3 linked regions of the Macaca fascicularis genome follow. The protein of the gene in region 3 interacts with the protein of the main gene of each other region in a pairwise test. Links are inferred from orthologs where the notes say so. Each region holds a gene or a part of one and is shown on either strand. Other genes may lie near its edges. The genes, in order: CCDC24; keratin, type I cuticular Ha8; USHBP1.

Evidence for each region.
Region 1: the proteins of USHBP1 (region 3) and CCDC24 interact in binary tests that used the Homo sapiens proteins (3 or more experiments, as listed by UniProt). The two-hybrid records come from large-scale screens. The link is inferred for Macaca fascicularis from reciprocal best matches to the Homo sapiens genes USHBP1 and CCDC24.
Region 2: the proteins of USHBP1 (region 3) and keratin, type I cuticular Ha8 interact in binary tests that used the Homo sapiens proteins (3 or more experiments, as listed by UniProt). The two-hybrid records come from large-scale screens. The link is inferred for Macaca fascicularis from reciprocal best matches to the Homo sapiens genes USHBP1 and KRT38.

Annotation. Positions count from the first base shown.
Region 1 is NC_088375.1:190,767,814-190,771,564, reverse strand, and holds the start of CCDC24 (coiled-coil domain-containing protein 24), read left to right. Parts: upstream 1-1,526; 5' UTR 1,527-1,632; coding exon 1,633-1,758; coding exon of another isoform or gene 1,759-1,773; intron 1,774-1,908; exon of another isoform or gene 1,909-1,967; coding exon 1,968-2,182; intron 2,183-2,278; coding exon 2,279-2,395; intron 2,396-3,636; coding exon 3,637-3,714; intron 3,715-3,751.
Region 2 is NC_088390.1:62,484,315-62,486,701, forward strand, and holds the end of keratin, type I cuticular Ha8, read right to left. Parts: coding exon 2,265-2,387; intron 1,984-2,264; coding exon 1,866-1,983; 3' UTR 609-1,865; downstream 1-608.
Region 3 is NC_088393.1:17,579,910-17,583,560, reverse strand, and holds part of USHBP1 (harmonin-binding protein USHBP1), read left to right. Parts: intron 1-1,971; coding exon 1,972-2,097; intron 2,098-2,262; coding exon 2,263-2,399; intron 2,400-2,565; coding exon 2,566-2,706; intron 2,707-3,601; coding exon 3,602-3,651.

The sequences.
Region 1 (3,751 bases), on a different chromosome or scaffold from region 3:
GGGTGTAGGATTTTATTTGTAGTTTACAGTTGTTAGCCCTGATACAGACCATTTCCATCCTATCTAGGTTTACCAAGATTCAAAACACGAAGCTGACCATGAAGCGGGACGGCATTGGGTCAGTGCGGTACCAGGTCTTGGAGGTGTCTCGGCAACCACTCTTCACCAATATCACAGTGGACATTGGGCGGCCCCCGTCGTGGCCCCCTCGGGGCTGACACTAATGGACAGAGGCTCTCGGTGCCGAGGATTGCCTGCCAGAGGACTGACCACAGCCTGGCTGGCAGCTGCTCTGTGGAGGACCTCCAGGACTGAGACTGTGGGCTTTGTTTTCCGAGGGTCTTCAATAGGCCCCCTAGCTATACCTGGAAGTTTCAGAACCCACTTTGGGGGCCTCCTGCCTGGGCAGGCTCTTCACAAGTGTGGCCCTCTTTGGAGTCAACCCTCCTTCCTGACCCCCTCCCCCTAGCCCAGCCCCAGTCACTGTCAGGGTCGGGCCAGCCCCTGCACTGCCTCGCGGAGTGGCCTGGGCTAGGTCACTCCACCTCTCTGTGCCTCAGTTTCCCCCCTTGAGTCCCCTAGGGCCTGGAAGGGTGGGAGGTATGTCTAGGGGGCAGTGTCTCTTCCAGGGGGAAATTCTCAGCTCTTGGGAACCCCCTTGCTCCCAGGGGAGGGGAAACCTTTTTCATTCAACATTGTAGGGGGCAAGCTTTGGTGCGCCCCCTGCTGAGGAGCTGCCCCAGGAGGGGACCAGAGGGGATGCTGTGTCGCTGCCTGGGATCTTGGGGTTGGCCTTTGCATGGGAGGCAGGTGGGGCTTGGATCAGTAAGTCTGGTGCCCGCCTCCCTGTCTGAGAGAGGAGGCAGGAGCCCCAGGGCCGGCTCGTGTTTGTACATTGCACAGAAACTTGTGTGGGTGCTTTAGTAAAAAACGTGAATGGAGCAGCTCCCTTGTCTGGGGGTGGGGGTCGGGTCCCTGAACATGGTTACCCTGAGTGTGTTGTGGTGGAAGGGCACTTGGCCCAACAAGTAAACCTGATCCGGGCCATGCTGGTTCTCGGAACGCTGTCACTCCCTAGGCTTCTATTGGCCTTAAGGGGAAGTTTGTCCTTGCACTGCTTCCGGGCCAGTGGAGGCGACGAAGTAATAAACCCGTGGACCCAGATTTCTCAGGTCTTAACACGTTCCCTGAGGCCTAAAGGTGCCCAGGGCCGAGCCCAAAGTGCCTGGGGTCAGGGCTCGGTGGAGCACTAAGTCTGAACTCCCAGCCTGCAGGCGCCGCCGCCGGACCACACACGGGAGGGGGCGGGGCCTAGAGTCGCGGCGCGGTTTCCCGGGTGATGGCCACGCGGAAGAGGTGGGGCTAGGGCGCTGGTTCCCACTGCCTGGCTTCTGGGCCCGCGGCATACGAGTTGACCAAAAGCCTGGCAGAAGAGCGCGCCAAGGAATGGCGGTTCTGGACGGGGCAATCCCAGCTGAGGGGACCGGCGGCAGAGCATGGGTGGGGCTTGGAAGAGGGCGGTCCTCATAGAGGGGCGGGGCTTGGTGAGCGTTGCCGGCGGGCCCGCGGTACCTCCCGCGCTCTGACCTGCGGCTTGTAGGTCCGAGCTGGGGACGGCGGCGCGGGTGGGTCATGCTTCGTCACTCCCCCTCGCTGTGGGAGCTGGTGGAGGAGCACATTCCGCTCCGGGAGCGACCCGAAGTGAAGAGGATTCTGGGGGAGGCGGCGGTGGACCTGAGCCTGGAGCTGCGGGCGGAGGTGGGGAGAGGGAAGGTGGGCCACGCCCCTGGGTGTGATTTCCCACCTCCTGCGGGTCCCTGGCCCTGCCGGGGAACTCCCGAGATCCTATTGGGTCTCACTGTCCTGGCCCTCTCCCCTTTGACTCTGTCCTCTCCCTCACTCCCCCAGCCCCCACCATTCCGGTCACTCCCCTCCCCAGTCGCAAGGTATCCCAGCTCTCCTTGCAGGTGGCGATGTTACGGGCACTGCTCCAAGAGGCTCGATCCTCTCAAGCCCCCAGCTCCCGCCCCATCTCTGACCCCTCTTCTCTTCTGGCACCACCGCCTCTCCTAAAGGACCTCTTGCGCCAGGAACTCCGGCAGTTGCTCCAGGGTCTCCACCACAAAGCCATCTGTGAGGGCAGGTGGGAGCCTCAGGCCTGGGTCCTTTCCCCAGATACCAGGTGGGCTAGCCCTGCCCCTAACAAAGAGCCAGGGTTGCCTTTTCTGTGGTTTCCAGAAAGGAGCCTCTCATCTTCCTTCCTGTGCACCTTCTGCAGGGACCAGGCCCAAGCTTGGGTCCAGTATAGCCCCAGGGTCCTGCACTTTGCCTTGGAGGAGCCCAGGTGTGATTTGCCAGAACAGGAGATATTCCAGATGAGAGGTGGTAGGCCCAGGTAAGGTGATGGTAGGAGAAAGGGATCTGTCCCTGCTTGGCAGAGGGCCCTAGCCAACTGGTGGGTTGCACCTGGCTCCATGCAGGAGGTTCCAGTCACGGGCTGGGCACTTCCACCACCACTTGTGGTAGAGATCAGCACATGAGGGCTGCCGAAACCCAGAGGAAACACCTGCCTAGCCTGGGGACAGGCAAAGCTTCCTGGAGAAAGTGGTTTGATCTGCGTGTTGTCGTATGAGGAGCAGTTTTCAGGGAGATGAAAGAGAGAAGAGCTTTGTAGGAAAAGGGAAGAAAGTCCAGCAGGCGATTGCTCCTCTGGCCTAGAGAACAGGAGTGAGGGCTGGGTTAGGGAGGCAGGGAGAGCTAAAGAGGATGGCTACAAATGGTATTTACAGCTGGGACTGAATGAGATAAAACATTCATAAGTGAATGGCAGCAACTTCTTTTTCTAATCCTCACACAGCCTGAGGTGGGCAAAGTCTGCACTTTGCACAAGAAGAAATTAAAGGCCGGGCATAGTGGCTCATGCCTGTAATCCCAGCACTTTAGGAGGCTGAGGCAGGAGGATGGCTTGAGGCCAGGAGTTTGAGATCAGCCTGGGCAACACAGGGAGACCCCATCTTTACAAAAAGTGAAAAAAAAAATTAGGCGTGGTGGCACATGCCTGGATTCCCAGCTACTTGGGAGGCTGAGGTGGGATAATGGCTTGAGCTCAGGAATTTGGGGCTTCAGTGAGCTATGATTGCACCTGTGCACTCCAACCTGGGTGACAAAGACCCTGTCTCTAAAAAAAAAAAAAAAAGAAGAAGCCTGGGCAACATAGTGAGACCCCGTTTGTGCAAAAAATTGAACAGGTGTGGTGGTGCACACCTATAGTCCCAGCTACTCAGGAGGCTGATGTGGGAAGAGCACTTGAGCCTGGGATGTCAAGGCTTCAGTGAGCCAAGATGGTGCTACTGCACTCCAGCCTGAGCAACAGAGCACAATCTTGTCTCAAAAAAACAAAAAAACAAAAAGAAAAGAAACTAAAGCTCAGAAGGGATAAGTGCTTTGTCTGAAGTCACACACAATGAAGGGTGGCAGAGCTCATTTGCAAAACTAGGCTCCCAAACTCTTACTCTTTGCACTATATTATATTGTTTTTGTGAGAAAAGAAAGACAGTTGTCTAGGAGAAGTGATGTTTGGGTCCTGAAGGCCTGGGGTGAGCAACATGGGGAGAGTAATAGTGACTTCATTGCCAGCAGTGGTCACAGAGATCTCAGCATCATCAAGGACCAACTGAACGTGTCCAACATTGACCAGGTGGCCAGACATCTGAGGTGAGGCCCAGGGGCACCTGCATGTGTGTAGGCAGGG
Region 2 (2,387 bases), on a different chromosome or scaffold from region 3:
CATAATGGCCCTTGGAATTACTGAGTGCCTCACAAGACTCAGGTGTGTTCTCGCATCACTTTAACCCTGGTGAACCCAAAGGGGAAAAATGGAAACAACATCACCCATGAAAGTGGGTCCTCTCCCCTTGGATGGTCTCAATAGAAAGGAGTTGCTAAGAAGGTTCTGCCCCTCAAAGCAAAGTTTTCTCATTCTTTAGCCTAATGCAAATACTCAAATACAGTCTGCTCTGGGAAGCAAGTTATTATGTGCACCATTTTGTTTCTGATTAAATTTAGATGCTAGAGGAAATTCATTTACCTGCCTGTACGAAGAAGCCTGAGGTCACGGGTGGCCCTTAAACCTGGCCATGTGGGTCAGCCTCTGCACTCCTTAAACATTATACAATCAATACTGGCTCCAGGTGAGGTTTCTTTGTGTGCTTTCTCCTTTTCAAGGTATTTTTATTTCTGTTATCTTAGAATCCATGACAGATCTGAGATATAAGTATGAACAATAACATTATCCCTGTTTTACCGCAGGAGAAAAAAAATGCTGAGGCTTAGGTGTGTGAAGTGATGATTCGAAAACCCCACAACAAGTCAGAGATAAAGTCAGGACTAGACGTGTTTGTTCTTTCAACAGGTATTTATTAAGCATCTATTGTGTACCAAGCAGTGGGCTAGGCTCTGGGGATGCAGAAATGAACAATTGCTAATCTTGGGTAAGCATTTTGATTGGGAAAACAATAGATACAGAGGCAAGTTCAGCTGTTGGCGTTGCTAATGAGCAGGACAGAGTGCCAGGGCTGTGAGTCCTTTAGGCTGGTAACCAAACAGGAGCTCTCAGAGGAAAGAAACTTTCAGCTGACCTGAACATTTATAAGGGGGGGGAAGAGCACCCCAGAGGGAACGAAGAGCAGGGACAGGTCTCCAGGCATGTCCAAGGAACAGAAAGGCCAGTGTGGCTGAATCGTGGTAAGGAAGGTAGAGAGCATGAAGACAAGAGGTGGAAGCACGTCATACTTAGCAAATCTCTACCCGTAAATCAATAGGTTTCAATACTTCAGGAGAAAATACTAGAAAAAAATGAAGTCATTGTTCAGATTTTAGACCGGAAGAATTAGACAGGGACAGGGGTTATAGCCAGACAAGTCTTGAGAATCAGAATTTATAGAGACAAAAAAAGAAAAATTTCTGAATCTGAACGTTCCTTTCACATAGAAAGAAGCTACGGAAGCCATATGTAAGAGGCTGTGTTGCCACAGAAGGGGCAAGCCTGGTCCTTTGTCATAGCTAGAACCCCTGAAGTAGAAAGACTCAGAATTTGATACAAGGAAAGTTTCCACTTAATCAGCTTCCAAGGTAGGGAGGCAGGACGATAGAAGAAGGGAATTAGAAAAGACAGGGTCAGGTACAAATCTGGTTCTATTTCCCTCTCCCTGGGGCCATAATCCAGGCTGGCAATGTTAGAAACAACCCAAGAGATGTGGGAATCTCAGACAGTAAAGTCTGTTCTTCACTTCCGTTGTCATAAACTATAAAAAAATTCAAGTTAAAGTTGGTGTTCTTGAAGTGCAAGTGCAATTTTAAATCATGCCGTATTCCTACTCCAAATTGCTTTTCAACCTTATGCCTCTCCAATCCAGATATTCTGAGCCACCATGAGTGGCTGCAATCCAGCCACTGAGGGCATAGAGCTCACCTGGGAAAACCAAGAGCGGGAAAGGAAGGATTTTCATCAAGTTTCCACCATCCCTGGTATCTCCTAGCCTTTGGACAGGCCTATACATACAGGAAGTTAGAAGCCAAATGTTCTAGAGGTATAACAAGCATCTCTCTTTGGGTATCCCTCGCCTTAGCCAGCCCCTGCGGGTCCACAGGAATTCAGAATCGGCTTCCAGTGGTGCTGGCTCCACAGGTGGTGTAGGGGCCACAGCTTGAGCGAGGAGCACAGGGGGCGGTCACACAGGAGGGAGGCGTGGAGCATGGATTGCAGGGGAGTCTGCAGAGAGAACAAGGTGAGGGAAGTGAGAGGCAAGGAATGAATGGGGTCTCAGTGCCATGTGGGGGCATAAGGAAGGGGTCCCTACTGCAAAATAACAGTGGATGGACATTTCCCTTCACTCTGTCAACCACATGGAGTGTGCAGGACAGAGCAATGACTCACTGAAAAGGAGTGCACAGACAGCCTCATTCTATGTAGAGACAGCCCTTCTGCTGCCCTGAACACCTCATGAGAATTGGGTAAATGATTTGGCCAGGAACTGCCCAGATCACACGTACTTGCAGTCCTCGCTCTCCAGAAGGTTCCGATACGTGGCAATCTCATTCTCCAGCCGAGCCTTCACGTCCAGCAGCACCTGGTACTCCTGGTTCTGCCGCTCCAGGTCAGCCCGGATCTCGGAC
Region 3 (3,651 bases):
CCAGGAGTTAGAGACCAGCCTGACCAATATGGTGAAACCCTGTCTTTACTAAAAATACAAAAATTAGCCAGGTGTGGTGGCACGTGCCTGTAATCCCAGCTACTCAGGAGGCTGAGGCAGGAGAATTGCTTGACACAATTCTGCAGCTACCAGGGAGGCTAAGGCACAAGAATCGCCTGATCCTAGGAGGCAGAGCTTGCAGTGAGCCGAGATCGCACCACTGCACTCCAGCCTGGGTGACGGAGAGAGACTGTCTCAAAAAAAAAAAAAAAAAAAAGCCAGGCATGGTGGCTCACGCCTGTAATCCCAACACTTTGGGAGGCCGAGGTGGGCAGATCACAAGGTCAGCAGATCGAGACCATGCTGGCTAACACGGTGAAACCCCATCTCTACTAAAAATACAAAAAAATTTAGTCGGGCGTGCTGGCATGCACTGGTAGTCCCAGTCCCAGCTACTCGGGAGGCTGAGGCAGGAGAATTGCTTGAACTCAGGAAGCGGAAGTTGCAGTGAGCCGAGATCCCGCCATTGCACTCCAGCCTGAGCGACAGAGGAAAACTCTCAAAAAAAAAAAAAAAAAAAAAAAAAAAAAAAAAAAAAAGAAAAGAAAAGAAAAAGAAAGAAAACTGAGGGTGGTGAGATCAGGCCCTGGGGTGGCAGCATGACTAGCCTGTTCAAGGAACCCGAAGGACGCCAGTGTGGCTGGAACACAGGGCGTAACAGGGAGAGTGTGGGGAGCCAGAACAGAGGGAGGACAAATGCAGATGGCGCAGGGCCTCGTGGGCTGCAAGGAGGCACTTCACTTGGGCTTTGCTCTGATTAAGGTGAGAGCCCCGGAGGGTTCTGAGCAGAGGAGGCCGTGCTCGACGCAGGTGTTCAGAGGCGCCCTCTGGTGGCAGAGGTAGGAACCGTCTGAGAGGGTGAGGGTGGACTCTTGGAGAGCCAGGAGGTGACTTCACTGGTCCAGACACGCAGGATGGTGGAGGTTGTGGAGGCGGAGAGATGCGGACGGATTCTGGGTGATGTGGACGGATTCTGGGTGATGTGGACGGATTCTGGGTGATGTGGAAGATGGAACTGACAGGTGTGAGCATGAAGGCTAGAGAGAACTTCAGGCTTTGGGACCTGAAGCACTAGAAGGGAGAGATGGAGGAGCTACAGGGTAGGCAGGTTTGGCTGGTGGTGACCAGATCTCTTTAGCCCTTGATAAGCTCCAGTGCCCATGAGACATCCACGTGGGGTCCTCAAGGGAGCAGCTGTATGTCTGAGTCCAGGGCTCAGGGGAGACAGCAGGGCAGGAGGGAGACACTTGAGCATCCTTAGCATGTAGGTGGCATTTAAAGCCATGTGGCTGCCGGGTGCAGTGGCTCATGCCTGTAATCCCAGCACTTAGGGAGGCTGAGGCAGGTGATCAACTGAGGTCAGGAGTTTGAGACCAGCCTGGCCAACATGGTGAAACCCCATCTCTACTGAAAATACAAAAATTTGTCAGGCATGATGGCAGATGCCCATAATCCCAGCTACTCAGGAGGCTGAGGCAGGAGAATCACTTGAACCCAGGAGGCAGAGGTTGCAGTGAGCTGAGACTGTGCCACTGCATTCCATCCTGGGTGACACAGCAAGACTCCATCTCAAAAATAAAAATAAAAATAGAAAAGTCATGTGGCTGAATGAAGTATTGAGAGGGAAACCCTCATCTCAGGCTGGTAGGAAAATTCGAGGCTATGGGAGCCCAGTCCAGGGATTCATTTTCCTCCACAGTGGGGCCCATTTTTCTGCTGGGAAAAATAAAATCCTCAGCAGCTGGCAAACATTCCCAAGGTCAGATAGTGAGATTTTTGGCAGGCTAAGTATCCAAGCCTCCTGCCTTCCAGCTAGGGTTCTTGCCACTTCCCCAAGAACAGGCCTTGGGGAGGGAAGGCTGGTGGTTGGTTTCAGCCCCTAGGCCTGACATTCCCCCTCATCCTTCCCAGGTTCAGGAGTTGCAGAATTCCCTCTTGAGGCTGGAGCCCTTCCCACGTCTTTCCCACAGCCAAGCAGGTGGCTCAGGCAGTGGTTCTACCAGCTCTGAGGCAGACAGGGAACCCTGGGAGACTCAGGTGAGTGTGAGAAGTTCAATCCCATGGTCTTGATGTCCTTAGTCTTCAGGGGGATGAGACTCAAATCTTTGTCATGGGATCCAACAGCTTCTGGGGTTGCAAAATGCCTACCATCCCAGGCTCTTGGTGACAATTGGGGTCAATTACATCACCTGTTCTTGGCAGGACTCCTTCTCCCTGGCTCACCCCCTGCTTCGGCGCCTCCGCAGCCATTCCAGCACCCAGATCCTTGGGTCTCTTCCCACCCAGCCCCTCAGTCCTGAGATGCACATCATGGAAGCCCAGATGGAGCAACTCCGAGGGTAAGAGACTCAAATGCTGAGCTCATAAGGGCACAGGCACCTCCTCCAGCTGAGTTAGAAGGCCTGGAGTCTGAAGCTGCAACAGGAGGGAGGGTAAGGGTGGAAATTGAGGCCTGACTGCCTTAGAAGGCCTCTGACTTTCCCTCTTCCCCACCTTCGGGGACAGGAGCATTGAGAAGCTCAAATGCTTTAACCGTCTGCTATCGGCTGTGCTCCAGGGATACAAGGGCCACTGTGAGGGCCTCAGCATGCAGCTAGGCCAGCGGGAGGCTGAGGCCACAGCATTGCATCTGGCCTTGCAGTACAGGTCAGTGCACCCTGCCAGTGATGTCACCAGCTGGGGAGGGAATGGGCTTTCTGAGGATGGCCCCAATCCACAGAACCCTCACTGGAGAGCACCTTCCCCACTTCAGAAATTAATTTTTTTTTTTTTTTTGGGACAGAGTCTTGCTGTGTCACCCAGGCTGGAATGCAGTGGCGAGATCTCAGCTCACTGCAACCTCTGCCTCCTGGGTTCAAATGACACTCATGTCTCAGCCTCCTGAGTAGCTGGGATTGCAGGTGTATGCCACTATACCCAGCTAATTTTTGTATTTTTAGTAGAGATGGGTTTCACCATATGGGCCAGGCTAGTCTCGAACTCCTGACATCATGATCCGCTCGACTCGGCCTCCCAAAGGGCTGGGATTACAGGTGTGAGCCACCTTGCCTGGCCCAGAAATTAACTTAAGGCAATTTTAGTTCAGGGTTGGTAAGGGAGTCTACATGCTTCCAGAGTTGAGGACAGTGGGGAGAAGAGGAGTTCAGGAGCAAGTGGGGACTGGCACCTATAGAGTGAGATGTAGCTAAGCATTTTTTTTTCTCTCTTTCTTTTTTTTTGAGACAGAGTCTAGCTCTGTCACCCAGGCTGGAGTGCAGTGGTGCCCTGTTGGCTCACTGCAACCTCCACCTCCCTGGTTCAAGCGATTCTCCTGCCTCAGCCTCCTGAGTAGCTGGAACTACAGGTGCGTACCACCACACCTTGCTAATCTTTGTATTTTTAGTAGAGACGGGGTTTCACCACGTTGGTCAGGCTGGTCTCGAACTCCTGACCTCAGGTAATCCTCCCGCCTCAGCCTCCCAAAGTGCTAGGACTACAGGTGAGGGCCATTGCACCCAGCCAAGCTGAGTGTCCTGAAGCACTCAGAACCAGTGTCCCATAGTGAGCACTGTGAAGAGGCATACAGGGTTCTTCTTGCTCTGCGGGAGGCCA